Regions from separate parts of the Mus musculus genome. Here all the other regions are reported to be linked to region 1. Evidence: microRNA targets listed by miRTarBase, many of them from high-throughput screens and not tested one by one. Region 1 holds a microRNA gene; each other region holds the end of a gene's coding sequence.

Evidence for each region. The annotated mature microRNA mmu-miR-19b-3p reads UGUGCAAAUCCAUGCAAAACUGA and lies in region 1 at 2,997-3,019, opposite strand. An mRNA with a match to its seed (bases 2 to 7 or 8) in the 3' UTR can be bound and repressed. Matches are read on the target gene's strand: a 7mer-m8 pairs with bases 2 to 8, a 7mer-A1 pairs with bases 2 to 7 and ends in A, and an 8mer does both.
Region 2: the mRNA of Paqr8 is a reported target of mmu-miR-19b-3p. The part of its 3' UTR that is shown has no 7-base or 8-base seed match.
Region 3: miRTarBase lists Foxo3 as a target of mmu-miR-19b-3p. The part of its 3' UTR that is shown has no 7-base or 8-base seed match.
Region 4: the mRNA of Ralgps1 is a reported target of mmu-miR-19b-3p. Seed matches in the 3' UTR shown: 8mer at 1,747-1,754 and 7mer-A1 at 2,191-2,197.
Region 5: the mRNA of Tub is a reported target of mmu-miR-19b-3p. Seed matches in the 3' UTR shown: 7mer-A1 at 2,818-2,824 and 8mer at 2,236-2,243.
Region 6: the mRNA of Ldlrad4 is a reported target of mmu-miR-19b-3p. The part of its 3' UTR that is shown has no 7-base or 8-base seed match.
Region 7: miRTarBase lists Gmpr as a target of mmu-miR-19b-3p. The part of its 3' UTR that is shown has no 7-base or 8-base seed match.

What each region holds. Positions count from the first base shown.
Region 1 is chrX:52,738,995-52,743,060 of GRCm38, forward strand. It overlaps Mir19b-2 (microRNA 19b-2), which reads right to left and starts at 3,072; the gene lies at 2,989-3,072. Mir363 (microRNA 363) reads right to left here and starts at 2,773; the gene lies at 2,699-2,773. It overlaps Mir92-2 (microRNA 92-2), which reads right to left and starts at 2,934; the gene lies at 2,844-2,934. It overlaps Mir20b (microRNA 20b), which reads right to left and starts at 3,198; the gene lies at 3,119-3,198. It also overlaps Mir18b, Mir106a and Kis2.
Region 2 is chr1:20,935,243-20,939,308 of GRCm38, reverse strand. Paqr8 (progestin and adipoQ receptor family member VIII) reads right to left here. Exons shown (of 3, transcript NM_028829.4): 3 at 1-4,066. The coding sequence ends at 3,621. All of the region lies in intron 1 of Gm51618 (a long non-coding RNA gene), which reads left to right. Among named protein-coding and RNA genes, the nearest start is that of Efhc1, 14 kb to the left of the region's middle.
Region 3 is chr10:42,192,974-42,197,039 of GRCm38, reverse strand. It overlaps Foxo3 (forkhead box O3), which reads left to right. Exons shown (of 4, transcript NM_001376967.1): 3 at 1-574. The coding sequence ends at 539. Among named protein-coding and RNA genes, the nearest start is that of Gm38485, 80 kb to the left of the region's middle.
Region 4 is chr2:33,134,073-33,138,138 of GRCm38, reverse strand. Ralgps1 (Ral GEF with PH domain and SH3 binding motif 1) reads left to right here. Exons shown (of 20, transcript NM_175211.5): 20 at 430-4,066. The coding sequence ends at 459. Among named protein-coding and RNA genes, the nearest start is that of Garnl3, 5.5 kb to the right of the region's middle.
Region 5 is chr7:109,029,621-109,033,686 of GRCm38, reverse strand. It overlaps Tub (tubby bipartite transcription factor), which reads right to left. Exons shown (of 12, transcript NM_021885.4): 11 at 3,962-4,066; 12 at 1-3,563. The coding sequence ends at 3,430. Among named protein-coding and RNA genes, the nearest start is that of Tub, 21 kb to the right of the region's middle.
Region 6 is chr18:68,253,973-68,258,038 of GRCm38, forward strand. Ldlrad4 (low density lipoprotein receptor class A domain containing 4) reads left to right here. Exons shown (of 6, transcript NM_172631.4): 6 at 37-1,577. The coding sequence ends at 567. Among named protein-coding and RNA genes, the nearest start is that of Mir7219, 5.0 kb to the right of the region's middle.
Region 7 is chr13:45,545,332-45,549,392 of GRCm38, reverse strand. It overlaps Gmpr (guanosine monophosphate reductase), which reads right to left. Exons shown (of 9, transcript NM_025508.5): 9 at 3,007-3,520. The coding sequence ends at 3,340. Among named protein-coding and RNA genes, the nearest start is that of Gm34582, 22 kb to the right of the region's middle.

The sequences.
Region 1 (4,066 bases):
GGCCAGCCTGATTTAGAGTGAGTTGCAGGACAGCCAAGGCTATGGGGGGGGGGGTGGAACCACCTGTTTCCAAAAATAAAATAATGAATTTAATTTTCAAGACTTGCAAAGGCCCTATGATCAAGATCAGCCATCATTTTAATTTCAGACAAAGGTCTTGGGACTCTTAGGAGGCAGTGATCTACCCTAGCCCCTCGAGACATGCCTAGTAAAACTAGTAACTACAGTTACCTTCTGGATACGTGCCACCTTAAGTACCAGTGGACTACCAATGGCAATACACTTGTATTAAAGCAGACCCCTAGTAGTACTAAAGATTATAACAAATAAGCTTTAATCCCCACTTTTTAAATCTACTTTATTAGAAGGGAAGGAGGTCTTTGCTACCACATCAAACTTAACTACAATTAGGCACCAATAAAATACTAAGTCATAGCACAGGAAGTATCTCATTATTTTGTTTCTGTAATTACTTCAAACATTAGTGACTTAAGAAAATCCTACATACTTAATAGAGAATTTACTAGCCTCCATCTCTTTTCATTAAGATTTCATGTCATCACAGCAGTTAAAATCCATGTTCTTGACCACTCTTCACCTCCCAAGGAGAACAGAAGCCCCACCTCACTGGTGTAGGACCAATGTTATCACTGTATTTTCCCTAATGAAATGGAAGCTTAGGGAACTAGCTCAAAGGTGAAGTATAATTCAGTAAAAAAATTCTAACTAAATTGAACCTATGTAATGAGGTCCCCAAAAAGTAATAAAAGGCTTTCAAAGTTGGGAAATTCCAAGGCACAAAGAATGACACATAGTGATACCTCTCCCTTCTGATGAGAACTCAATGTTCAGATAGGTAAAACCAACACATACCTACCTAGTTTTTCCACTTACCAAAGACAGGGCAGTGTTAACATTAACACATGAAACAGAATGAGAAAGTGGGGTAAAAAATGTGCCTGAGTCCTTTCAACTTTATGAATTTGAAACTTAAAATAGAACCGGGCGTTTTTTTTTTTTTAACCTATAGTTCTTTGGGCGAGCACCATCAGCACCTGAGACTGGGTTACAAAGGCAAATCCTGAGGGCTCACCTGATGACAGTCACTCTCTGGAGATGGGACTGGCAGGGTTTTCAGTAGTGATAAAACCAAAGACTCAACGCAAACTTAAATTCCAGTTATATTCAAATGTTCCTTCAAGACATACCCTATAAAATTTGTTTTCAGCTCAGTGGGGGAAGGGCACTTGCCATCGGGCCTAAGAAATCTAAGATGTATGTCCATGACCCACATGACTAGCTCCCTACAGTTGTTCTCAAATCACCACATGACACACACACTAAATAAGTAGATAGATAGATAGATAGATAGATAGATAGATAGATAGATAGATAGATAGATAAATGTATGTAAATGCTGGAAGTCTAGGAGTGGAGGGGTGCCTACCTTTAATCTCAGCATTCTAGAAGCAGAAACACACAGATCTCCGCAAGTTCAAGGCTAGCCTAGTTTACAAATTGAGTTCCAAGCTAACCAGAGCTACATACCAAGACGCTATTTTAGAAAAGCCAATAGTATTGCTAATTTAAAAAGAGAGCCATTGCCATATCCAGGGATCCATCCCATAATCAGCTTCCAAACGCTGACACCATTGCATACACTAGCAAGATTTTCCTGAAAGGACCCAGATATAGCTGTCTCTTGTGAGACTATGCTGGGGCCTAGCAAACACAGAAGTGGATGATCACAGTCAGCTATTGGATGGATCACAGGGTCCCCAATGGAGGAGCTAGAGAAAGTACCCAAGGAGCTAAAGGGATCTGCAACCCTATAGGTGGAACAACAATATGAACTAACCAGTACCCCGGAGCTCTTGTCTCTAGCTGCATATGTATCAAAAGATGGCCTAGTCAGCCATCACTGGAAAGAGAGGCCCTTTGGACTTGCAAACTTTATATGCCCCAGTACAGGGGAACGCCAGGGCCAAAAAGGGGGAGTGGGTGGGTAGGGGAGTGGGGGTGGGTGGGTATGGGGGACTTTTGGGATAGCATTGGAAATGTAAACGAGGAAAATACCTAATAAAAAAAAAGAGAGAAAAAAAAGAGAGCCCCAGGCTGGAGAGATGGCTCAGTGGTTAAGAGCACTGACTGCTCTTCCAGCGGTACTGAGTTCAAATCCCAGCAACCACATGGTGGCTCACAACCATCTGGAATGGGGTCTGATGCCACCTTCTGGTGTCTATGGAGACAGCTACAGTGTACTTGTCATATAATAAATAAATAAATAAATAAATAAATAGAATCTTTTAAAAAAGAAAAAAGAAACCCATTTTTTTTCAGACTTATATATCAGCTTTATTTTGCAAATTTCAGGTTTGTTTACATTCAGTGCAATCAAAATGTCAGGATTTCAAATATATTTAAAAATATGTAGTTTTAAAAAATTAGACTCCAAGCTGGGCGTGGTGGCGCACGCCTTTGATCCCAGCACTTGGGAGGCAGAGGCAGGCAGATTTCTGAGTTCGAGGCCACCCTGAGTGAGTTCCAGGACAGCCAGGGCTATACAGAGAAACTCTGTCTTGAAAAACCAAAAAAAAAAAAAAAAAATCCACTCCAAATGTGTTCAAAGCAATGACTAGCTAAAGGATTTTACAATCTTACTATAGCACTGATAGACGGCTGTCCACATAGGTCCTGCGGTTTACAGATGGATACCGTGCAATTTTCCTCCTATTACACCAACCAAAATTGCATCGTGTTCCACCTGATAACAGCAAAACAGTTCATTTCATAATTACAGTCTAACATAACTTACAATACTCAGAAACTAAAAGACGATTAAAAACCCTCTTTCTTCCTCAGGCCGGGACAAGTGCAATACTTTATATCTAACACAAGTAATGCCACCAATCCCCACCTGTGGATGAATGGGCATGGATGCTGAAGATGTGCATAAAGGTGTCCATTACGATGCAGAAAGGTACACATTCCCACAATCAGTTTTGCATGGATTTGCACAGCCATATATTCACATATACGCTGAACTGCAAATCTGCAAAACTAATCGTAAGTAGCAATGTCCTTGCGCTGTAGTTGCTTCAACAAGACCTTGGTTGATCCAGGAGTACTAGAAGTGCTCACACTGCAGTAGAGTGGTATAAAAACTACCTGCACTATGAGCACTTTGGCACTACTAGGATCCGAGCTTGTTCTTCTACACAACTGTATACTACAGTCTCCGCCATCTGTTTCTCGGCGAAACACTGAAAGAGCCTTTGAAACTTGTGCCGTTCAAATCATTTCTCAAGATATGCTTTTCAAATGCAAGGTAAGAAGTAGCCTGTGCGAGAAGGGGCATTTAGGGCAGTAGATTGTAAGCTGCTTCACTAACAGCACTAGATGCACCTTAACACAAGAGACACATTACAAGGAGCAGCTCAAAAACATCCACAATCTAACTATGCAGAAACCAGGGGACTCAGCGGCCTCTGATTAAATCACCATGGTAATGTAAGAAGTGCTGGCACTGCAGTAGAACTCAAAAAGCTACCTGCACTGTTAGCACTTTGACATGGCCAAGGCATACTCCAGGAGTGTAACCTTGAAGTCTTCCACGAACTCTTCTTTGCCAGATCTGCAGACTCACCTGGATAAACACACACACACACACACAGCAAGTAAGTGAACTGTGAGTTACTATTTCTAAAACAAGTTTGCCTTCCGTTAAGAGTGCAAATGGGGTTGTGTTACTTCAAACATTAATAAGCTCAATTATTTACACAGACTTAAACATGAATAACACTGGCAATCTCAGAATGTCTGACTCTTAAGAGTAAGAGGATTTTGGACTCCCTCTCCGTCTAAGGAAATTTGAGATTCGCATCCCAGAAAATTTGCAGAGCTGTAATATCCACCATGGTTTTCTAAGAGGCAAGAGCCCAGGAAAAGATGTAAGCAAAAAAATAAATAAATAACATTAGGGTGAGTACTGACGTCTTGAGCTCATCCAGAGCTTTGGGGAGCCACTCGGAAGGTCTCTATGTTTGATTACATGAAGCATCCCTGC
Region 2 (4,066 bases), not on the chromosome of region 1:
CCAAGCAAAACACAGATCTAGCCATGAAGCCTTGGCAACAAGCTCTGAGTGTACTGAGAGTGACAACATCACCCTCTGGAGGATGCAGGTGGAACTACAGAATAGTAACCAAACAAATGGAGGGCGACCGAAACAGGGCTAAACTACCCTCCTGTCAGGGCTCTGAATTCTATTTCAAGCTTCCAGTCTATGGCTTACACTATTGTTATTGAGAGACTTAAGAGCTGAAATTGTAACCCTGACATCTTTAAGAACTTTAAAATTAGTTTTATTAGAATTGGATATGGTGTTGGTGCAGCCTGGAATCCCAGCTCCTTGGCCGACTGCGACAGGAGAATCCATCTGGAGTTCCAGGCCAGCCTGGGATACACAGTGAGGTCCATCTCGAACAAAACAAACACCTTGAACAAGAAACAACAAAAACAGCCTTCACCGTCAAACAAAAGTCAGGATTCTGAAATGAGAAACAAGCCCCCCATGTCCAGTGTATCCTCTTCTTGAACTAAGTGGGGCCTTATATCAACCCACAAGAATCTTATTCATGAGAAAGTATAGATGACTGATGGTTTAATCTTATCAGAGGCGTTTACATATTAATGGGTTGAAAGTCTTAACTAAGAGAGGCAACAACCAAAATTTCTAGTTTTGGAGAGCAAGATAAACTATCTCCCTTATACCTTTTTAAACATTATGCTGATTTTGCAGGGTGACAAACTCCATTGTAAAATCAAGAGGCATGCATACTCCTCTTTACAATTTTTGGTTGTTACTTTTAAACTAGCCTAGTCTTTACCATCCTGATAGGCCCATTTTAATGACACTGTTTGAGGACTCTGAAGAGTTAAAAATCACCCATTTGTGTATGCATTTGTAAAGGCATTTGCATTATTCCAATTAGATACTGGTGTTTTCCCCCCACCTCAGTGCCCTCCCCAAATATCTATTATAAATACACGGTTGCTTGGCCTGGGGTGCACATCAATGGGAGAACTCTTTGTTAACATGTTGCAGGTCTTAGGTTCAAGTCCCAACTCCATAGAAATCACTTTCTTTTTCTTTTTCATCAGTTCCCAAGTCCATAGTTAGCAATAGTTGTATAATTAAACTAGGAACTGAACGCCAGTATCTCACGTTTCTCACGGGCGTCACGGGTGTCACGGGTGTCACGGGTGTCACAGACTTGTGAGGAACAGAGTTCAGCTCGACCCTAGGCTGCAGGACCATTGAATACCACAGATCCCTGTCCACAAGACTCAGAATGCCACACCTTTAGCCCTGCCATGTGGGAGGCAGAGACAGCTTGATTTCTATAGAGTTCTAGAGGTCAAGGTTTGCATGGTCTACATAAGGATTTCCAGGACAGCCTGGGTTATACAGTGAGATCTGATCTCAGGAAAAAGGAAAAAAAAAAATCTTTGTTCACAGATACCACCAGAAGACCGCCTTCCTCATCCCTTTCCTCTCTCACGTTTCCCACCAACTTTTAAAAGAATACAGTCTTTGAATCCACAACAGCAGAACTTCTAACACTTTCTGGTTCCCATTTTAAACAGACCCTCTACTTGGAGCGTTTACACATACACACCCTAAGAAGTCTTTGCTCAGTCCAAACCCGTTCAGTTTTGCTAACATTCCTTGGCATGAACTTGACCTAGACAATCAGAACCTTGGGTCATTTGGCTAGCATAGGCGTTCATCTTCTTGACCATGAATGAACAAGAACCCCATCTAATAAAACAGTGCAGGAGACACATGCTCTCTTGATTTAAAAGCAGCAGGGATACTGCTGCTGACCCCTCTCACATACAGATTAATAGTTGATTGACAGGTCACTCTAGCTTTTGGGGGTTCCTTTTTTTTTCTTGTCCCAAGAACACAAAACAGAAAAATTCCATGTGTGCATATATTAAAATAAAAGAGTTTAGACATTCCCATGTATAAGGCACAAAATTCACAAGTCACTCGCACAAAAAATATATATATAGAAAACAAAGGTTTTAAGACTAGCAAGAGGAGGTTCATTAACTGGAGTTGGAAACTTTAGCTTCCTTTTTTAGTACACAGGGACCTTATAATGATAGGAAGTGCAGCCTGCGAGTAGAGGGCACCTCAGCCCTTCCTCAAACACAGCCTCCTCCACTGGGTTCATGCAGAAGACAGTCCTCGGGGAGAGCTGTGTGGCCAGAACATCTCAGCTGCAAGCACCACTCCCCTCACATCAGGGGCTGGCAGCCATATCACGGACAGTGCCTTCGGCCATCAGGTGCCTCGTTCTTACTCAAGGGACCTTCAGGGGCCAACGACGGTGAGCACACATTCACCCCTCCTAGGACCCATTTTAAGGTTTCTTCTCAAGTCGGAGGTGGAACTGCCTCATGAGGACTCTGAACTGGGGTAGCTGCGTTGGTCCTTCACGGGGCAGCATCTAACAGCAGCTTGAACCTTGGATCTTAGGATCCGCTTGACATAGTCTGCTTTCTCGGAGAACTTTAGAACCATGCTTGTAAAGGAGTCTCTTCAAACCTTCAGACAACCAATCTCCTGACCTGCAAGACAACCCTAAGTGGCTGGCAGTTAATACTGCTGTCCTCAGATATAAACTACAAGGGTCCCATGGGCAGCAGGCAGGCAAGGGTAGCCGTGCTTGCTGGCTGGGTCTCTTGGCAGCTCTTGGCACTGTTAAATCTGTCGATACCTCTGTATTACGCGGGAATCAGCTTCCTGAATGTTCATATGGCTCCAAGCATTTCCTGGAAGGGTAATAGCTTCGGGATTCTTTGTTACCATGCAGACTAGGGATGAGAACAGTAGTACTTCAGGCAAATTGGCCAGCTTAGTTGGTTATCCTGAGAGAAGAACCAGTGGTCGAGACCAGGAATGATAAATTGAATAGTCCATTTTGTCTAAGAGTTTCAAGGAAACTTCTTGAAGATTCTGTTTTTTTCCACCCAAAGCAATCTGAAATCCTGATAAGACAGAGTTCGTTGGTCAGTTTACACAGACACCAAGCCCAGCAGCGCGGAGGGTGGCTGTTCTGTTAGGGCAAGGTTATACTTGGCAGTCCAGTTTAAATATCTGTCTAGTTTCAGGACTACTCTTTGGAAGCTACAACCAGAATTCTGCTCATTGCTCATGGGTGAAGATGGCTCTCCTTAGTTTGGGGTCTCATGAATCTTAGCCAAGATCTCTTCCCAAACAAGGCTATCACCCAGACAGAAAAATGAACGCACTGTTTTAAAACTCTCAAATGGCCTGCATTTGAAATTCCATAGTCATACCATGCCTTTGAAAATACATAATAATTTTGTTTGAGATATGGTATCTATCATGTATCAAAGGCTAGCCTTGAACTCACTATATGTCAGAGGGTGACCTAGAATTTCTGATCTTCCTGCCTGTGCCTCCCCCTGGCTTCTGTGGCCCTGGGAAATCAAACCCTGGGCTTTCTGCATGCTGTATAAGCACTCTCTACCAATGTGAGTTTCATCCTCAGCCCGTAATACATATTAATTTAGAAAAAAAATCAAGCCTGAAAAATAAAAAGTCAACTTCTATTATTGGGTCAAGTTTTCTCCAAGTCACAGTAGCCCACCTCCACACCTTTCCTCATTTGAAGGACCTCAGGAATCTTTCTTAATCAGTCTGTCCTTGACCTTGTGCCTCAGGAGGGTGGCGGTGGCCGCACTGCAGGCAGCTAAAACGAAAAAGGAGAGACAGGCGCTGTACACAGACAGGGGACCGTGGCGCTGGAGGAAGATCTCATGGCGTCCCTGGTAGTCCAGAAGAATGGCCTCCAGCTGGGAGAGCGTGCAGACGGACAGGAAGGCGTGGAAGATTTGATGTCCGTGGCCCACAATGTCACAGGAACCGGGGAAGTACTTCTCGGGGACAGGGCACGAGAAGAAGTATGCGCTGACGAGGAAGAAGAGGATCTGAAGGGTGTGGTACCAGGCCGCCTGCTCCTGGCAACCGGCCAGGTGGCAGAGAGCCACGCGGTGTGCCACCGGGCTGATGTCTAGGACGAAGGCCAGCCCTGCTGGTACTACTTGACAGATCTTCCTCATAA
Region 3 (4,066 bases), not on the chromosome of region 1:
AGGCTAGCACCGCCGTGTCCGCCCAGAATGCCCGCCGGAACGTGATGCTTCGCAACGATCCAATGATGTCCTTTGCTGCCCAGCCTACCCAGGGGAGTTTGGTCAATCAGAACTTGCTCCACCACCAGCACCAAACCCAGGGCGCTCTTGGTGGCAGCCGTGCCTTGTCAAATTCTGTCAGCAACATGGGCTTGAGTGACTCCAGCAGCCTTGGCTCAGCCAAACACCAGCAGCAGTCTCCCGCCAGCCAGTCTATGCAAACCCTCTCGGACTCTCTCTCAGGCTCCTCACTGTATTCAGCTAGTGCAAACCTTCCCGTCATGGGCCACGATAAGTTCCCCAGTGACTTGGACCTGGACATGTTCAATGGGAGCTTGGAATGTGACATGGAGTCCATCATCCGTAGTGAACTCATGGATGCTGACGGGTTGGATTTTAACTTTGACTCCCTCATCTCCACACAGAACGTTGTTGGTTTGAATGTGGGGAACTTCACTGGTGCTAAGCAGGCCTCATCTCAAAGCTGGGTACCAGGCTGAAGGATCACTGAGGAAAGGGGAAATGGGCAAAGCAGGTTAGTGCGCCACAATGCAATGGGAAAGCATCGCCGGTGGGCGGGGCGGGGGGGGGGCGGGGGAATGGGGGGGGTGACTCCTATCCTGACAGCGCATGCAGCAGTCAGGACTCCCAGCCGGTTCATCAGAGTTTTACCTGTAAACAAGACAGGGCTCACAGCTGTCAGTAATAAAAAGAACACCCAAATATTCAAAAAGCTCACTCTTTATGTCCTCTGTTGTCACTATGAGGCAGGTTCTCCTACCCTCTGTGTGTGGGTGGATAAGAGAAGGAAAGGGGAGGAAGGTCAAAGGTCACAGGGAAACACACCAGCCCGAGGAGTTTCTTAAAAAGGCTCACATCTAGCGCTGGTTTAATCTCTTGTGTGATGGTTCTTCACCCCCTAGGAAAGTAGTGTTTTGCGCTAGGAAAGTGTTAATGGCATGTTCTTAGATCACTACCTCGTTGATAGCAGAGACCCTTTGCAGAAAGGACACGAGAGATTGTGGGAAGAGTTTAGAACCAGCTGGTGCTGTGATGTCAAAAGCAATGGACTTGGGCAGTTGGGACACACCTATAGTCCCAGCACTTGCAGGTGGCGAGGCTACATAGTGAGGCCCTGAAGGTCCAGTCAGCTCCTGAGTGTCTGTCTGTCTGTCTGTCTCTCTTTCTCTCTCTCTGTTTATACAGTGGGATTAGTGGTCCTACCAGTCCATAGAGCTACTGTAAGAGTCAGATGCACAGAAGAGTGTGAAAGAGTTTTGTAAAACTTCACCAGGTCGGACGTACCAAGGGCAGTTGAGTGAGTGTACTGACTGACAGATGAGCAAGCCGGGAACCACAGAGGTTAAATACTTTGCCCAGGTCACACAGTTTGTCCCAGAGACTACACGTCTTAAGTGGCTTGATTCCTATTTTCTGTAAATGGTTTTTTAAAAGGCACTGTGGACTGAGCCAGCCTGAACTCTTCTCCTGCCTTGGGGAGGGGAGGCTGGCTGTTTATGCCAGCTGGTTTGTCTCAGTGTGGCTTCACATACCCGGGGTTGAAAGGCTCTGCACCCTCAGCTCCCATTTTCTTCTGTTTTTAATTTCAATCTCAGCAAGCTGCTTACCTCCTCCTTCAAGCTGCACAAAAGAGAAAAGGAACCCAGAGCCCTAAGCCCCACCCAGCCTTGTTAGCCCTCCTCCCTGGTGCAGGCATCATAAGGGTCTGCTAGAGCAAGCGAGCGCCTGAGCTCACTGAAGCCCTCCTGGTAGCTGTCCAGGGGAGTGTCAGAGCATCCCTGGGCTAAGCATCTCAATGTTCCCAGGCCCAAGAGGGCTCCTGGTGGACGCCCAGACCTCGCTGTAGTCCTTAGTAGCTTGGAGCCAGGAGAAGACCATAGTGAAAGCTGAGTAGCATGACCTTGCCAGCCGGTTACTCCCGGACCTGTTGGGTCATGGCGATTGACTTTAGAGATGTAGGTACATTCTGAGGTTTATCTCCAGTGAGGAAGACTGTGGTTGTGGTTTCTGACATGAGAATGTTGAATTTGTCATTGTAAGTAGAGACCACTTCCCTGTTCACCAAACCTGCGAAAATGTCCTATCAGCTTTTGTCTGTTTCAGTTGGATGTTCCTGGTTAAACAGCATGCTGTGTGTGTGTGTGTGTGTGTGTGTGTGTGTGTGTGTTGGTGTTGTGTTTATCAAAGTTATATGGAAATCTATTAAGGGAGATTTAAATATATAATAGCCTTCAATTTTATTAGTGCTAAACTTAGCACTAATAAACTTAGCTTGTTTCCACTTTATTAAAGGCAGACTCTCAGCCTCACCTTCCCTGACGAGTGTCCCCAGCCCCAGAGCCCCATCCTTCTGGTTTGCCGCTGCCTTGGTATTTCTCCAGACTGGTTTGCAGTGTGCTGACCCAAGGTCATGTGGCCCCATTGAGGCTAAAAGGAGCAGCCCTGGCCAGGTGACATTTTACTGAAGAACCTCTGTGACAGGCTCTGGAGATCTGGGAGTCTGATGTGTAGCTGTGTGTTGGTAGCGTCACGTCCTGGGTGGGTAGCGCCCCATCCTTCACCCATGCTTGTGGACTTTTCCATGTACAGGAGCGGGAGACGGGACTTGGTGGCTGTAGTCTGGGCTTTCAGTGAGCCCTCTTAAGCTTGACAAGACCCATGCCGGATGACTTAGCATGCCTTAGCATGCTGGAATTTCTTGGTCATCCCTGCCTACAATCTCACTGTTACACATTTTCCACTTGTTTTTACTATGAGCATAAAAATAAGGTCCTGCTACTTCAGGAGCTCCAAAGGTCAAAGGTCAGGCTGAACTCAGATGCCAGCTTCTTGTTAACTATCCAGCAAGACCTCTCCTTTAGTTCGTGCCTGTCTTCAAGGGCCAGTTTCTCAGATGAGCACCCACCTCAGCACATTGTCTCTGGGCTCTACTCTGAGGGGACCTGCAGGTGAAAACACCTCTGCAGCTCACCCAGAGTTGCACAGGGTCCCTGTGGCGGAAAAACTGAGCTTCGCAGATGGGTCTGTGGGATGGTGTCCTGCTATTTGTCTCTGAGTCTCTCCAGGCTTACTTACACAGAGGGACAAACGTTTACACCTCCCCTGCAGAGCCCCCCTTTTGTAAGAACGTGTGGGGCACGATGTTTTCTCCCATGATCCCGTAATCTCATGGCAGACCACAGTCAGCCTTACACTGTTTGCAGAAGGCAGCTGCTTTCCTTGACAACCAACTCTAGTTTAGGTTTCTTTTCATGCCTTCTGGGGCTTTGCACTCAAAGTCCTGCTTGCCATTTGGGGAGTACACATTAGAGAGGCTGTCAAAGAGAGATTCTGCCGCATGGGCTGGTAAGGTTTGGAGCCTTACCAAAGTGTTCCTTTAGCATCTCTGAAGCTGGGCAGTGGTGGCACACGCCTTTATTTAATCCCAGCACTTGGGAGGCAGAGGCAGGCGAATTTCTGAGTTCACTACAAAGTGAGTTCCAGGACAGCCAGGACTATAACAGAGAAACTCTGTTTCAAAAAACCAAAAGAAAAAAGAAAGAAAGCATCTCTGAAGGGGGCTGCGGTCGGGCTTCACTGTGGGAGAAGCCTTGCCTCCCATTGTTTCGGAAGCCAGAGCCAACCTGAGCTATTCCACTGTTGTAGGAAAGAAACCTGGCTCTTCCGTCCTGACAGGCACCCACGGTCTGACCTCTAAGGGCTGGTGGTCGCTTGTTTTGCATAACACGAAGACAGGAAATCCAGTCACCATGCTGTGGCTCTGGCAAGCCTCAGTTGGGTGAACATCTGAAAGGTCAGGCTGTCTTCGAGGTGTTGCCCCAGTGCTAAGCACTGCTCTGTAGACTGAGGAACTGCTGGGCTACAAGAGTCTGGTCTGCTTTTATCTCCTCCCCTCCCAGCAAGAGACATGACCCTCACTCTAACCCCAGATCTTCTGTTTGTTTAGTGACCTCTTAAGCCTATGGTGTTCATTTGTTGAAGGGCAAGAGTCTTTGGTCATGATGTC
Region 4 (4,066 bases), not on the chromosome of region 1:
CCCTGCCATCCCTTAAGACATCCCCCACCTTCTAGGCTAGTTTCCCCTCCAGAGACATTCACCCTAGTTCAGCAGAGCCTATCCTTCATACCATAAACCCAGTTAGTTGCCTTGGCTCAGGGGATAGTGGTGGCAAATGTCTCAGCCCTGGCTCTAACTCTCTGTGTGGCCTGTACAAGTCTCAGTCTCCTCATCTTCATTATGGCGACCCTTCCAGCGTCCACCTGATAGAGGTCAAGTGAGGACTCCAGAAACTGTGCATATGAAGTAGTCAGCGTAATGCCTGGCACATGGTAGCTACTCCCCAGTGGCAGCAGTCATTGCCGTGCTCTTCCCTCCCCATACTTGCATGTCCCTAACTGTAGGAACTGTCCCCTATCCCTTTCTGTGGATTGAAACTTTGACAGAAGGGTGAGCTTTCTCTTCTAGGTACCTGCAAACCTTATGTCCTTTGAATGAGTATCTGCAGGACTTGGCGAGACTGCAAAGGCTTCTGAGAGCCTAGACTAGGTCTGTGGAGGAGAGCAGCTCTGGGCATAAGCTGTGGGCCAAGGCACTGGAGCCTCATCGCTGGACTCGAGGAATATGGCCATGGCCTCACAGTCCTGGATGGCTCCCCAGTGTGAGATCCACCTGTCAACCCACAGCAACTCTCATGAATCATTCTGCAGCAGCACCCCACCGGGTGGCTGTCAGACCCCAAACTGCGCACCCTATGCCCCCTCTCTGGGCCATCGTCTGTCCACCAGCTGCTTTTGCATCAGGGGAGCATTTGACCCATGTTGGGTTCTCCATGCTTTCTGCTGCACACAGAGTGGATGGCGTTAATCTTCGAGAGGGCTGGAAAGCAGAGACGGGCTGCTGGACAGGCTTGTTACACCCCAAGTGCACCGGCCACTCACCCACAGGGCCGCCTCCGATTTTGTATACCCTTAAAGCATCCTGTGTGTGTGTGCGCGCGGTGTGTGTGTGTGAGCGAGTGAGTGTGAACGCTCTGAGAAACATACATTTTGGCACAAGACTTGTGACATCACACACTTATTGGCTTTGAGTCCCTGCTTGAAGCTTTAGTTACAGCCTTGTCCTCTAAGAAAAGTCTGAAGGGAGTCCAGAAGCTCCGTGTTAAGGGTCCCTTGAGTTCTTTTACTGTAAACAAACAATGCCTTAAATCGTGTCTTGTTTTCTGTTCCTATGGGTGCTATTCATCTGGATGGCCTGTTCCCTGGGCCCCAGGCCCTCCTGGGTCTTGTTGTCAGCCCGCCTGAGGCAGAATCCATTTCAGGACCGTGTACTGGGCACTGGCCTGCTTGCTCCCCACCACGAGCTTTCCTGGTGGTCCTATGGGCCCTCCTTATCTCGCCCACTCCTGCTATGCTGGTGTGGGAAGCTGGGACCTTTTCTCCCAGCAGCGTGGAGGCCCCCACAGTGACCGGTGGTCAGAAGCTGTGCCACCCCGCATTCTCCCACGGGGCAGAATTACGCTCCTTTCCTCACCCTTGCCACCACTGCCAGGGCCGGCCACACTGATTCCTGATCACACAGGGAGCTGAGTGACAAGGGGGCCTAAGCCCCCTCAGTCTTGCCCCTAAATGCAGTCACCAGCAAGTTCTCATCCAAGTCCAAGGGCCCAGTTCTTGATGACCAGGTGAGAAGAGAGCCAAACCCTAGGGAGTGAGATGTCCAGCCTCTGCATTCATGAACAAGGACCTATCTGTCACCTGTTGTCATAAATAAGGTGATTTTTACTTTGCACATTTTAATTCAAGTGTATTGCCCTTTGTCATCACTGATGCTCTCTGTCCTTCTTCCTCTTCCTCTTCCTCCTTGAATCTGGGTACCCTAACCCTGAGAAGAAAACCCTCAGTTTTCTGGAAAAGGCTGAATGTCTGGGTCCCTGTGGGTATCATGGTTTTACACAGTAACCCAATCATGAAACCATCCCAACAATAATGGAGAAGCTGCAGACAACACCATAACCATGAACTTACCACCAGAAAGCACTGTATTACAAACAAATGGTGACATGTCTCTAAAACATGGATGACTTGATGGGGTGATTAGTTGTTGTCATGGCCGTACGTTTGTTGTACTCTGAAGCTAGCCTTCCTGTGGGCAGAGCCTGGATATTTTCATGCCAAGAGAAACTCCACATGGTAAAGTTGATGCCATCAAACCTTGACCACAGCTGCCTTGCACATCCACCCCCACCAGTGGTCCAGCTGTGTGCACTAGCTGTATGCACTGGATTCTATCAACGTTGCTCCAGTTAGAATCCAGAAGATGGATGACGGTGTCAGACACTTGAGGCACCTCCAAGCAGAACCATTCGTGGTCCACTTTAATCTATTCCAACTCCAAACCTGCCTGCCTGCCTGCCTGTTAACTCCTAGAAAGCCAGACCATCAGCTGCTAGTTTCCTTTAGGTGTCTGCTTTTGGGCTCATTGTTTGGATTCTTGCATGTGCAGTGTCAAGACATCAAAACCCCAGAACTTCATCCCACTCAAATAACTTCCTGCCCTTTACAGATTTGTCTTATGAGACACAGTGTTTTCTTCCAGGCCTAATCTGAAAGAGCACAATCACAATTATTTTCAAAGTGTTTAATCTTCCTAAATGAAGCCAAACTCCCCTCCCACAAGCATCCTTACCATGAACTCTTGAAGACAACTGCTTGAACTTTATTAGTGAAAAGCCTTGTAGGACTTTTGTGAGCCTTGAAGGTAGTGGGAAAGCCCTGTCTATGGAGTTAAAAGATATTTGTCTCTCCAAGCAGGGCCTTAGGCCAAGCATACAAGCTCAGTGCTGATATCCTCGGCACAGCTTGTCACACAAGGCTGCAAGGGGAGGTGGCCAGGTCACATGACAGAGTCAGTGGTCCTTTGGTGGACTCTTAGCCTTGAAGGAAGCTGTTCTGCACTTTTGCTCCACTGTCCATCGTACACAAATACTGTGAAACTGTTGGAGACAGACCATGGCACCCCAAACTGAGAGCTGTAGAATGCTGTTTAGAAACTGGGATGGGCAGCTGGTAGAATTAGGAAGTCCCAAGAAAAGCCTTCTCACTCACAATAAGAGTAAACCTCTGTCCCCTTTCCAGTGTACAAGTTTTGCAATACAAGGTCAGCCAAGTGTCCGCTGGCAAGCAAGATACCTTGTGGATGCTGGACTTGGTGGGAAACACTCCTACACAAGCCAGCAGGAGAGTCCGGCCTTCCCCTGCCCTGGCTGAATGCCTTGGGGCACTTGATGCTGAGCAGGTAGACACATCCGTGGCTCGCCAACAGGCTCTCTGTATTTCTCCTCCTTACCAAGATGGCCAGTGTTTCTTCCATCAGTTTACTCTTGCCTCTCGAGCCTAAGAAAGGTGTGGTGGTTTTTTGTTTGTTTTGTTTATTTTTTAATATCAATTTTCAGATGGAAAATGATCTGTAAAACTGGGAAGCCATTTATAAGCCAAGGCTGCTTTAATCTGCACGTGGCATCCAGAGCTTTGCAACCTCTATTGAATATTGCCAAAAGCACAGCTTCTCTTCTGTGTGACCCTTAAACTGTCCCTGTGTCATATTGATATGTTGGGTGATTTCATGTTATAAAACAAACAAAAAACCCACCCTGCACAAAGCCCTTTTGAAAGTGTATTTATTGCATAAACATTCATATGTCAAGTGAATACTTCTTATACCCCAGGCTCTACCCAGACTGAAAAAGGCTAGAAACAAGACAAATCCAATTTTGGCCTTTGTAGAACTTAACCAGTCAATGACCAAATAATTACCACCTCACAAGCCAACTTTGGCAAGACCCTATCTCTCCCCTACTCCTGAATACAATCGTGTGCATTGGTTCTTCCAGGAAGACCAGATTGAATGGAAATGTTGGGAGAGTAAGTTGCATTGAGGACTTGCTGGAGTCCCGACATGGGAGGCTGGCTGGCTCTAAGCAGCCAGATTCTGATCTGTGTTCAAGAATGGTTCCAGGGAAGACGCCAAAGGCAGGATGAGAGAGTAGGGTCTGAGTGCTTGCCGTACGCACAGCCCCCCACCCCGTTTACTCTGTAACTTCAGT
Region 5 (4,066 bases), not on the chromosome of region 1:
GTCAATTTGGGCAGGTGGCCATAAACTGAAAGAAAAATCTATCCCATAGCCTGTTCTGGAGACTGAAGCAGATCTAAAGCCAGGGTCTAGGGCAGTGCAAGGTCCCAACTCTGCAGGGCAGTTGGGCCCCAGTCACAGTGCTAGGCACCACAAAAAAGCATGCTTTGATGGCACCTGGCATCCTGAAATCCCATGAGGATATCGTAGCTGGGGCAAGGAATACAGAGAAGGGGAGGCCAGGACTGCTGAGAAGGGAAACCAGGCTGTCCATCTATGAGACAGGTGTTGTGCTTGCAGAGCAGAGCTCCCTGCAGATCCTAGCTAAGCAGTCATCTCTATTGCTTGTTAAACTTAGAACTACTTCTACATAACGTTTGAGGCAAATAGACCTGCCATTTCCATAAAAGAGAAAGAAAAAACAAAACCAAACAAACCCACTTTACAGCATTGTTGCCTTGTCACTGAAGACGGTATGATTACCAAAAGCTCTCTTCCAGACTGTTGCCACACACCTTGGCTTCCGACTCCTGTCTTCCCAGAGGCACACACCTTACTTGCTTGCTTCACCTTAGTGTCAAGATTGTTAAGGCACCATCACCACCCCATGTTCATTTAAAAGGGTGCACATCTCAGCTCCTCCTCCAGTGAACTGACAACACACTTCCTTGACAGTCGCCTGCTCAGAACCATGGGAGAAAGAGCATGGAATGAAGGGGCACCATCCACAGTCCACAGTGGTCACCACTGCCTCCGTTGTCTTTCCCTACTCTGATGTGATCTTAAACTTCTGTTCATTGTTTGCAGATTGCCCTTTCCTCGACACACACACACACAGACAGACACACACACACAGACACAGAGCACCTTGGAGCCAGAAGGACAGAAAAAGCTAGACTTGGAGAGGAGCTGGGGAAGCTAACATCACCACTCTGCAGAAGAACTGGTTTGGAGCAGAGGGTGGAGAGTGTTAGGGTGTGGAGCCGGTAGCATACAGAGGAGCTGCCTAAGGTTCCAGCTGCCCTGCACTCTTACAGACTAGGCTGCTCTTCTCACCAATTTGCTACCCAGCCAAGGACCAAAAAGAAGAGGGGATGAGGGGTAAGGGATCTTCCTGTGGGAGAGGCTAACCCAGGTGATCCCGGGGCCCTGGTATCTGAAGTCCATTAGCCTGTGTTCACAGCGCCAGTGGTCAAGAAAAGGCATTATCACCAGGAGCTGAGTCTTAAAATCTGACCTTGTGAGGCTGGTCTTGTCACTCAGGGCCCGACAGAGGGGTTTGTGCTGAGGCTGCTCCTTTCCACAGTGGGCTACAAAGTTCAGCCTATTTCCTGGTGCTACCAACTTTATATTCAAATAGCCAAGAACCCTCTTTTTTGTGTGTGGTAAAGCAGAGAGCAGAGTCCAAGAGTTTTCCATTGTGCTTCCAGTTCCGCTCTTAACCACCAGGGTCCCCTCCACTCATGAGATTCCAGAAATCAGCCTGTTCAACCTTAAACTTGTCAACCCAGAGAAACAGCCTGACTAGACTAAAGCTCTGGTTTCTATCACCTCTAATGTCAGGAGATTTCTCCCTATAAAGTCAGGGAGGGAGGGCAGACACAGAACTATGGGAAGGAGATGGCACTGTAATCTTTCATCAGGAGATAGGCCAGCCCCAGCATGGAAGTCCTACTGCCCTCTAGAAACTAGACTGTAAACAAAGGCTACCTCGCTGAGGGTTCTCTGATGGCAATGTATGGCTCAGGTGTGTCAGAACCTGCTGCAGCAGGTGTGCCTTTCGTCGAGTGTCCAACCTGGGAAATCTAGAGCTTTCTTAAAGTACTACTTCCATTTACATCAATCCAGCCTCCTTACCTGCATAGCCTCTTCATATCTAAAGCATGACCCACATATTCAAAGCATGACTCTACATGACTCTACTTTTTAAACTTCTACTTAGCGTTTCCAAACATATCTATTTCAAAGCAAAAAGCAATGTCTAAATGCTCTTTGCTTCCCTCTGGTGTCTCAGCTCCAAGAAGCTTCTCACAGATGGCACACAGGCAAGAGCTTGGAGTTCCCAAGCCCACCAGATGAGTGGTGCCATCCCAATGGAGGGCGTGTCCAAGCCCAGCCCCAGAACCCTTGGGCTGCCTGTCACACAGACACAAAGTGTGCAGTGGTCCTGCTAAGGTCTGTGCACAGCTCGAAGTCCTCATAGAGGAGCCAGGCACAGGCCACATCAGATCAGAATGGTGTGCAAAAACTCAGACAACTTTCAACAGGGAACTGCCTGATTCCCTACTGAAAGGTTTCCAACCTTATACATTAACTCGGAGGGGTTTCATCTCTGGAACTGGGAAGAGAAAGGACATGCAGAATAGACCCTAGCAGGTCAGAGAGTCTAGTTTCTGGGCAACAGTAGGAACAAAAGAATTTGAGGTTCTCAACTCTGCCATTAACCAGTGAGGTAACCAAGAGACATGTGCCCTATACTCAGGGATCAGCATTGCTGTTGGTGAACCACACAGAGGTCCGCTACCTCTGAGCTCTTGTGGCCCTAAAATATCCTCTGCTCCCCTCACCCTGCGCCATCCCCCTAAGCATGGCACACAGCCCTCACTGATCATGGCATGCTGGCAATAATGGGAGCTGAGTCTTCCCAGAGAGGACATTCTTCCTGAAGCATACCATTACTTGAATGGTGACCTAGATCCTGTGTGTGTGTCATAGGTGTTGTGCTGGGGCTGCTGAGAGCCCTGATGTAGGGAGTCTACTGGATGACTCCTATCATCCCCATCCACTCAGATATTTGGCCTTGAGAGCTGGGTTCTTACGTGTGCAAGCACTGGGCAAATCTGTAGCAACAAATGAGCTAGCATTCTAAGCCTCCAGCTAATACACATGGCCAGGCCCCTGCAATCCTAGCAGGGACCTGCCACGCACCTATCCCTACCACTCCTAACCCCCTTTGGGCCTAATGGGCCCTTTTGAAGTGGGAGTGCTTTCTGCTGACCACCAGAGCTTTTTCTACATACAGCTTGAGTGCCCTGTACATACACACACACTCACTGTACCCCTGCTTCCCGGGACACCCACTGTCTCTGACTCGTAGGCTGAGTGGATGGCTGAGCCACAGCAGCCAGGCTTGTGCTTCCTCTCCCTCTGTACCTCCAGGTGAAGAGGCTTTCCGGTGTGATAACACCACTGCAGCAGGGGACTGACCCAGGACTGGGCATGTGTGTTGACCTTGGGGCACAGAAATATTCTTCTCCTGTCATACCCATTTGCTGTCCCCCCTGCTTCAGCAGCAGAGGCAGAGCAGCCAGTCTCTGGTTGGTAAGGCCAGAAAGCCCATAGAGGGCCTATGAACAGAGGGTAGGCAGGGCTGTCTTGGCAGGCAGGCAAGCTCCACTCCGGACTGGGCCACCTAAAGGCAGTGGGGGGCCTCTACTCGCAGGCCAGCTTGCTGTCAAAGCTGGACAGAGCAATGGCAAAGGCCTGCAGTGCACACAGTGGGTAGTTGTAATCCATGGTGAACACATCTTCTGCTACCCGGCCAAACTGCATGACGATGTAGTCCGCTGTGGCATGCACAAGCAAGAATGGTGGAGACAGGGAGACCAGGTAAGACATGGGCCACAAGAGGGAAGGAGAAAGCAGAAATGCCAAAGAGATCGAAAGGATGAACAAAACAAAGGTTCAAGAGAAACATTATGAAGCAAGAGGGTGAAGGGGGGAGATGCACACAGACAGCAGGGCCCAGGAGAGAAAAGACATCCATTTAAAGGGTATTCCCAAGCCCCAGACATGCAGGGCACTAGGGGCAGGACTCTAGATCACTACAGTTAGAAAGTTCTAACAAAAGCCATATACCCACATCCCATCACTGGCTGATATGGACCAGATCAGGGGATTGGGGGTGGGGTGGGGGCTGGGCACCATGCGTACAACATCAAAAACAGGGAGTGGCAACACTCACGGTCATTGCCGTGGATGATCTGGAAGTTCTTCACAGAAGCCTGTGTGACACGGCCGTGGAAGTTAAGTACATAGGACTGTGTGTCATCATTCCAGACTGGCGTCT
Region 6 (4,066 bases), not on the chromosome of region 1:
GAGAATCTCCTCAGACCTTTTCCTTTCTCCTTCCAGATCATGTGTGCCCCACGGGGCAGGGATAGGTTTACTACCCCATCTTTCATCCAGAGGGATCCATTCAGTCGTTTCCAGCCCACCTACCCCTATGTGCAGCACGAGATTGACTTGCCTCCCACCATCTCCCTGTCAGACGGGGAGGAGCCGCCTCCTTACCAAGGACCCTGCACGCTACAGCTCCGGGACCCAGAGCAGCAGATGGAACTCAACCGAGAGTCCGTGAGGGCCCCGCCCAATCGAACCGTTTTTGACAGTGACTTGATAGACATTTCTATGTACAACGGGGGACCATGCCCACCAAGCAGCCACTCGGGCATCAGCGCAGCTACCTGTAGCAGTAACGGAAGAATGGAGGGGCCACCCCCGACCTACAGCGAGGTGATGGGCCACTACCCAGGCACCTCGTTCTTCCATCACCAGCACAGCAACACACACAGGGGCAGCAGACCACAGTTTCAGCCGAACAACTCAGAGGGCACAATAGTACCCATCAAGGGCAAAGACAGGAAGCCGGGGGACCTGGTCTGATTCCCTCTAGAGTGCACTTTTCAAGGAGAGAGAAACCGCGGCAGGGAGAGAGAGGCCCGCTGGCCCCACTGCCACAGTGTTGTCCAGCTTTACTGGTACAGCCAAGTAAAACCAAATGTGCAAACACGGTCTTCGTTTCTGCTTCCTTTCACGGGAATTGCATGCAAACAAGATGGAAACACGATTCAAACTTCCATCCAGTTTGACCACAGACAGTGTTCACCTTGGGGCAGGGGGTGGATGGAGACAAGGGCTAGAGATGGTATGATCTTGGCTAAGTGGTGTGCAGAGAAAACTAAAAAAGGCTGCTTTGAAGACATCATGAAAGTAAGACCCACAGAGGTATTTTTGACATATTTGATTCCAAAAGGAGACTGCGGATAAATGAGGCCACAGTGGCCTGTTTTATAATTAACTGAATAAAGAGGGAAGAATTATTATATATTATCATGGGGAAGAATCAGCCAGTTTGCTTTTTCTCCAAAGGTGTGAAACTTATTTTGTTTTAAAAATATGAGTCAAAACTCCTGTTTGGTGTGCCAAGGTTTTAAAGTTGGAGAAGTTAGACGAGTGAGAGGAAGTGATTTGTGTTGTGATGGTATGTTTTAAGAGTTGCACTATCTCAATGTTTAACATATGGATGAGGGAACCGTGTCGTGTGAAGTTCTATATGTTGTCTTGTCACCTATGGATGGCTACCATGCCCAAGGAAACACTCTTGAGTGTCCACAGAGTCATACAAGAAAGGTATTTGGCAATGTACCCTGGTGTTTACCAAGTTAATGTACATTTTTAAAAGTGGTTATGTTGCAAGAATTTGCAGCCAGAAGCCGTGTACTACTGAGGTATTTGGAGAGGTTGGTGAAAAGAGATGCTTACACTGTGTACGGAGTGTCACGCACAGCTAGTCTTTTTCCCAGCAGGGTCAGCAGTTCAGACTTTTTTTCCACAGTAGCATGAAATATATTCAGATACATACCCTATTTTATGCAATAAATCGTCTAAAATGCAAGCTGGCTATTTTGTGTACTGCCGAACTATGGGTCGCAGCGAGTCCCATTGCACTTCTCCACTTTCCGAGGCAGCTCTGTTGAGTTCTGCGAGGGTAGTCTGTTTAGCACCTGGCACCAGCAGTTGTCCCCAAGGCCACTTGGCTTTCTAAGTGCCGTGCTGGTAATGGTTCTTTATGTTTAATAGGCCCCTGGACGTGATGAGAGGAACGAGTTTGGCATAATAAGCCACTGCATCTCTCCAGTGTTGCATGTTAGGGGAATCCGGCACAGACCTGCCAGCGCTCATGCCAAAGACTTCTGCATAGCCAGTCTTCGTACCATGGTCAGTGAGAGGATAGAGGTGGTGGGTCAGGGTGTGACTCAGGACAAGGCAGTGGCAGGCAAAGTTGCAGCTGGAAAATGGCTTCTTAGTATTTGAAGTCAGTTTATGATTTCGAACATTTTTTATGTAGAATAAACAACAACAACTTTATTATGCAGATGTAAGAGCTGGCTTCCTAAACTGCACGGAGGCAGGCTCCAGCTTTCTGGAAGTCTGGCCTCTGCATGCAACACAATGAACCGGAATAGAAATTCGGTGGCAGCTTTAACACCAAATCGATCTCTGTCTCTCTCTGTCTCTGTCTCTGTCTCTCTGTGTGTGTGTGTCTGTCTGTCTGTCTCTGTGGTGTGTGACTGTTTTTAGAAGTGATTACATGAAGTAACTCTGTATTCTTACCTGAGAACTAAATTGTTCAAAGCCGGAGTCCTCTCTGACCCCAGGCTTCTCATTTCTGCTTGTCTTAGTAGGCAGGCCACTGGCTTAGTTTGAGTTTTGAAATCTCCTTTGAATTCATCCATTTTGCACCGTAGCGTCCACAGGAATACTCACAGCTACAAGGAGAGAGAACAGACAGGCCGCAGTCGTCAGCTTGTCTTAAACACTGCTTGCAAGGATGCCATTTGGGACTCAGGAACTGCTCTTCTGTCTTGTCTGGTGACATTCAGTGGCCTTTTAGGCCACAGGTGAAGCAGGCCAAAGGTGACCTTTCCCACTTCTCTGAGGCCTCCTGAGAAGGTTCTGGCTCCTGGTGACCTTATGCTCTCAGGCTGTGCTTGAATGGTACCCCGAGATACAGTGGCAGAGGAGAGGTCTATGTCCTCACTGGGATCTTACTGGTCAGACTTGGCATTGGATGACTGCCAGGGGGTGGTGAGGTTATGGTTTTGTCATTCCAAATCCTAACTAGTTTTTTGGCGAAGCTGGAGATCCCAGCTTTTAGTTTCAGCTCCAAACGGCTTCTCAGTCCTTCCTTTCATCTTTCCTTCCTTTTCTACCGGCTGTGAGAATGAACTGAGATCAGAGACTCATAAATAACTTTGGAACTTGGCAAGCACAAGGGCATTTTGTAGATGCCAATAGTATAGGCAAAACAATTAATTCAACTATATTTAACTACGTTTCAAAAGAGAAGTTGCTTTCTTAATGTTTTTACACACACACACACACACACACACACAACTAGTGATTTTGAGGCTGGGCCTCTTTAAGGAATTAGTATAAAAGCCAAAGCAAAGGTCATAAAAATTAGTCCGTTTCTCTCAGCACAGGGAGGCGGCTTAGGTTGTAGCTTTCTAGCTGACTGCCCATGCTATGCTGTCTCCTGGCTCTAAGGCGTTGACTAAGCAGCTACTGTGAAGACACAGCTCATACAGGGGGAAGCCGAGTGCTTAGAAGTCTAGTATTCAGTTTGGAGAGCAGCGAATTTAGGCAACTGACAGTAGGCTATACTGACAGATGAATCCCATGGGGCTCTTGAGTAAAGGTTTACAGTATTAGAAGGAACAGTCCCGGGCAGGCCATTTATCTGTTGTCTCACAGATTTCCAGGATGATAAAACACACGGCCTGCAAATTCATCTCCTGGAGATCAGCCTTTTGGCCTGCATTTGCTTCTTCCGAAGTTCTATAAACACAGAAGCAATATTTAATAGAGGAGACTAGGAAGCCAGCGGCTCACCCATTTATGTTTACTGGTAAAGCAGGCCCCATGTCTTCGCCACCGTAGACACACACCTAATCCCACAGGGTGGCAGTAACTAAAGCTTACAGGCAGAATGTGAGACTTGCACTTTTTCTTAGTAATGTTTAGCTCAAACTCAAGAGGCAAGGATGAGGATAAACTGGGATGGATGCCTCTTCACGCGTACATGGGACTTGGGTGGCTACACACTCACACACACACACACACACATATGTATATACACACATATATATGTATATACATACATATATACATGTATAGTATTTTTAAAATTCTAAGTAGCTCCAATTGATCTTTATCAGGACCAAAAGGAAGTGCTTTCAGAAAGCTGTTGATCTGAGAATCCATTCATATGCCGGCCTTCCCCACACATACAGGTTTTACATCTCTTATCCAGCTGTTCCTTTTAGAGATGCCTGAGGCAGGTCCCTAAGATGCCCCAGGCCATATTATTGAGGAAACC
Region 7 (4,061 bases), not on the chromosome of region 1:
CTGTGCACAGGCTGGTGTTGGGCTCAGCTTTGGGAAGGTGTGGCTTGGTGGTGGTTTAGGAAAATCATTACTCCTGCAGCAGCAAATCCCCAGGTATGCCCTGCTCCAATCCACACGTGCCGATGTCGTTCTTCTAATTGAAATTGGAGCTCACACCGGGGAGAAGATGCCAGAAATAGTTGAGAGTTCTCACTTGGCCAAGGAAGAATGGGAACCCTTTGCTTCTATTTTCTTCTTTCTTGTATTTTTGAGCTATCCAATTAGGACTCATCCCAACAAATCAGGCAGCCTAGGTTACGTAGTAACAAATCAGGCAGCCTAGGTTACATAGTAACAAATCAGGCAGCCTAGACTATGTAGTAGCATGTGACTCCTGAAACGAGGGTCTGGGGTTCTACACATTGTATTTTAAGCATGCTGGAAAATAAGTAGCATGCCAGGAAGCCTCATTGAACCAGACTAGAAGGGCTGTTCCTGGTATGCAATGGGCAAGCCTTCTGCCTGCCCACGTGATTAGATACTAATAGCAGACTGTTTATAGCTAACAGTTATCCTACGGCTAGGATAATTCAAAAGGCTGATTAGGAAAAATACATAGCTTACTGTGATACTCTGAGACATGCCTTGAAACTCTAAGAAGCATTGCTCCAGTCCAAGACCAAGATTCATGCTCCCCTGTTCCAGGGTTGTGCTTGCCTTCCAAAGAGAATTCCCTCCTGTACCTATGACCTAATAGGGAAATGGGGACATTTATGTCTCTGCTTCCCTGTCTGCAGAGATGTGAGCAGGCAGCCTCTCATAACCATAGCCACTTCTGCCACCATTGCTCCCATTCCATCACAGGAAGTTCCGTGCATGGGCAACAAGCCTTCTTTGTCCGTGTTGTTTGCCTGGACTGAAGGATGCTCTCACAGTAGATCCTCTAGGCTCATTCTGATCACTGACTTGCTCCAGCCAAGGGAATGTGTGTTCTTTTTAGGAAGCCTCTGTTTCAAGATAATCCTGGTGCCTGGGGTTTTGCAAGAGCACGTGTGGCCTTCATTTGCTTAGAACTAGATAGCAAGGGGCCTGCCTTTGGCTACATAAAACCACCAGTCTGCAAGGATCCTTACAGAGCAAAGTGGCATTTGTTATTGCAGGGAGAGGGAAACCGAAGCCCAGGCCAAGACCATCCTGAAGCAGCACCCATGTAGAGCATGTGCTATGTGGAACCTTTGGGGCCATGTCCCCACAGTGATGCATGCTGCAATGTTAATTTAACACAGGGACCAGGCCTATAATGTTATATTGAGCTGTTGAGGTATCATATTGAGAATCTGGGGGAAACGCACAGGTCTGAAGAGACCTGCCGATGCCAGTCCACCTGAAAGGACTTAGGACTTCCTTTCCTTCTTACTTATTCTAGGCTCATTAAACTGACTTAAATATGAAACACATCCTCCATAAGGTATATCAAGGGAGGCTGACACTAGACACAGATAGGGCAGACAGAGTGTGGGGGTCCTCTACACAAGTGCCATATCCTGTTTGCCTTGAATACCCCTTTTCTTGCAACGACATGTGTGATGATTCATCCTGCCAAGCAGACAAAGGTTTAGAATCACAAAGGAGATACAATTATAGGTGTGCCTGTTAGGGTGTTTCTGGAGACGATTAGCTGAGTAGCCCCACCCCACGGGCTGGGGACCTGGACTAGATAGAGGGTGAGGGTAACGGAGGCAGGAAACCAAATGGAACAGGATTTTGATAGTTTGCAGAGATGTAAGCAAGCAGCCTTGTGTTCCCAGTCACAGATGCCGGCCACTCCCTACTGTAATGGACAGTGTCACTTGAACTTTCACTGGAAAAAACCCTTGCTCCCTTAAGTTGCTCCTTTCAGGGGAATTTGGTTATTGTGATGGGAAAAGTCATGAATACATCCAGCACGCAACCTTCCCAAGTATGCCACTCATATTTCTACAGGTCTAAGAGCAATGCTTGGGGGCTCTGGGAGGAAGGCTGGAGGAGGGGTCAGAGTGCCCTCTTCTCAAACGTTAAGTACAGTCGTATAGTACCTGACTGGTAATGGGTTGGGCACCCCCGCCCCCATGTAATGGTGTAGCTACATCATCAGATATGGTAGGCACCAGACAATTAATTGATCCTCACTCAGCAATACCATTCTTCTCCCTGGAATGTCGTATTTGCTTTTTCAAAGAAAAGGCACACTCTTGTGCCTGCTGATAAACCTTGTTAGGAAAAACCACCCGATTCTCAGAAACACTAATGCTTTGACACTGCAGGGCAGCTCCCTGGGCTAAGTAGGGCCTTCCTCCAAGACAGAGTCTCTCTTACCAGCCAATAATGGCCACCTTCCTACATAGCTACTTCCCAGGAAGTATTCATACAAGGGACTTTCCGTGACTCACAATCTAAGCCCCTTTAGGCCTCAGAGCACTTGGTTTTCAGCAAGGCTTCTTCATGGCTTTTTCATAAAACATCTGTGAGGCTTCAAGATGGTTTGTAAACACCTGGAGAGGGGCCAGCCTGGCTGAGCTGCAGCAGGAGGATTGCAAGTTCGAAGTCAGCCTGGGCTACCAGCTAGATCCTGACTTTAAAAAAGAGAGAGGGCCAGCCAGCCTGACAAGTTGGAGATCAACTGCGTATCTGACATACTACACAAAATCCCAGGACAGGTCGAGCTTGCTAGCAGCTCTGAACAGGCTGGGAGATAAGCTAACAGGGTTGGACAATTCATGTCCATTGACCCTGCAACCTGAGAGCCTGCGACCCTGCTCATTGCATTTTTTTTTTTTTTTTTTTTTGCTTCCCAGCAACAAAAAGCTGCAGGTAGCAGTAGGTGGGTTGTGAGCTTTGTAGGCTCTTGCTCAGCCCCACACCACACTCCCTCCCCAACCAAGGGCCTTGTGTGTTAACCACTGAAGTTCACTTACCTGACTGGGCAGGCTTTCCCAATGCTTATGAGGCTCTATAGGACTGTGGTCCTGAACACGCAAACTCCAGCACTCAGTCAAGATCATAGCATTATATTAAAAGTGAAACCATTGTCCTTTAGAAAGAAAACTAACGGCGGACAGAAAGGAGGGTGCAAGGGCTGGTTGACACCAGGAGGCGATGAGTTCTAGGAGCTGACCCGGGGCCCCACGAGCGCCCTGCTCCTGGGCCCCACACAGGCACTAGGGCAAGCCCCAAGGTCTCGGGCTACAAGATCAGGACAAGGACTCAGTCTCAGCATCTGTGATAGCAGCCAGCCTGCCAAGGCAGATAAGGAGGGGAGGGGCGAAGCATGGTGAAAGGAGGCTTCCACTCGGCTCAACACTGAGGTCTGCATCCCCGAGGTTAACCAAACACCGTGTTGTGCTGTTGGGTCACCCGGATGAACGTGGCTCTCCTGCTGAGCTCTTTGAGCTTGGCAGCCCCGACGTAGGTACAGGTGGAGCGCAGTCCTCCAAGGATATCCAGAATGGTGTTCTCCACGTCCCCTTTGTAAGGCACTTCCACGGTCTTGCCCTCGGAGGCCCTGAGGAGGGAAAGGAGAGGGGTAAGGAGGAATAATCTTATTTTTCCCCTTAATAACTAAGGTAGAATTCTCCCTGCTGTATAGCCTTTATTCCTTTGACAACATGCAAATGGAGTGTTTGGGACATTTTACGTTCCCCATCACCACCTATAAAATCACTCCTGCTCTTTCCTCATAAGCCCCTCCCACCCCCAGTTCTCCCACCCTTTTGGTTTGTTTCATTGTGATCCATTGAGCTGATTCACTCAGTAGGGTTATGTCCTTGAGCACGGGGCACCTCACCACTGGTCACACCATTGAAGAAAACGACTCCCCCTGGCAACCATGAATTGCCCGTAACTCCTTGGAGAGGGGCGGGGTGCTGCAAGGCCCTTCCCCATCCAGTGCCAAGTCTTATCCAGCTAACAAAGGCTTTGGTGAGTGTGGGAATGTGTCAGCAATGTTAAACCCACAGGGTAGTGTTTCACCCACTCTAACATCCCTACTGAGACCCTGAAAGATGAGGTATCCCTCCAACCCTATAAGAACTTCCCTGTTCACG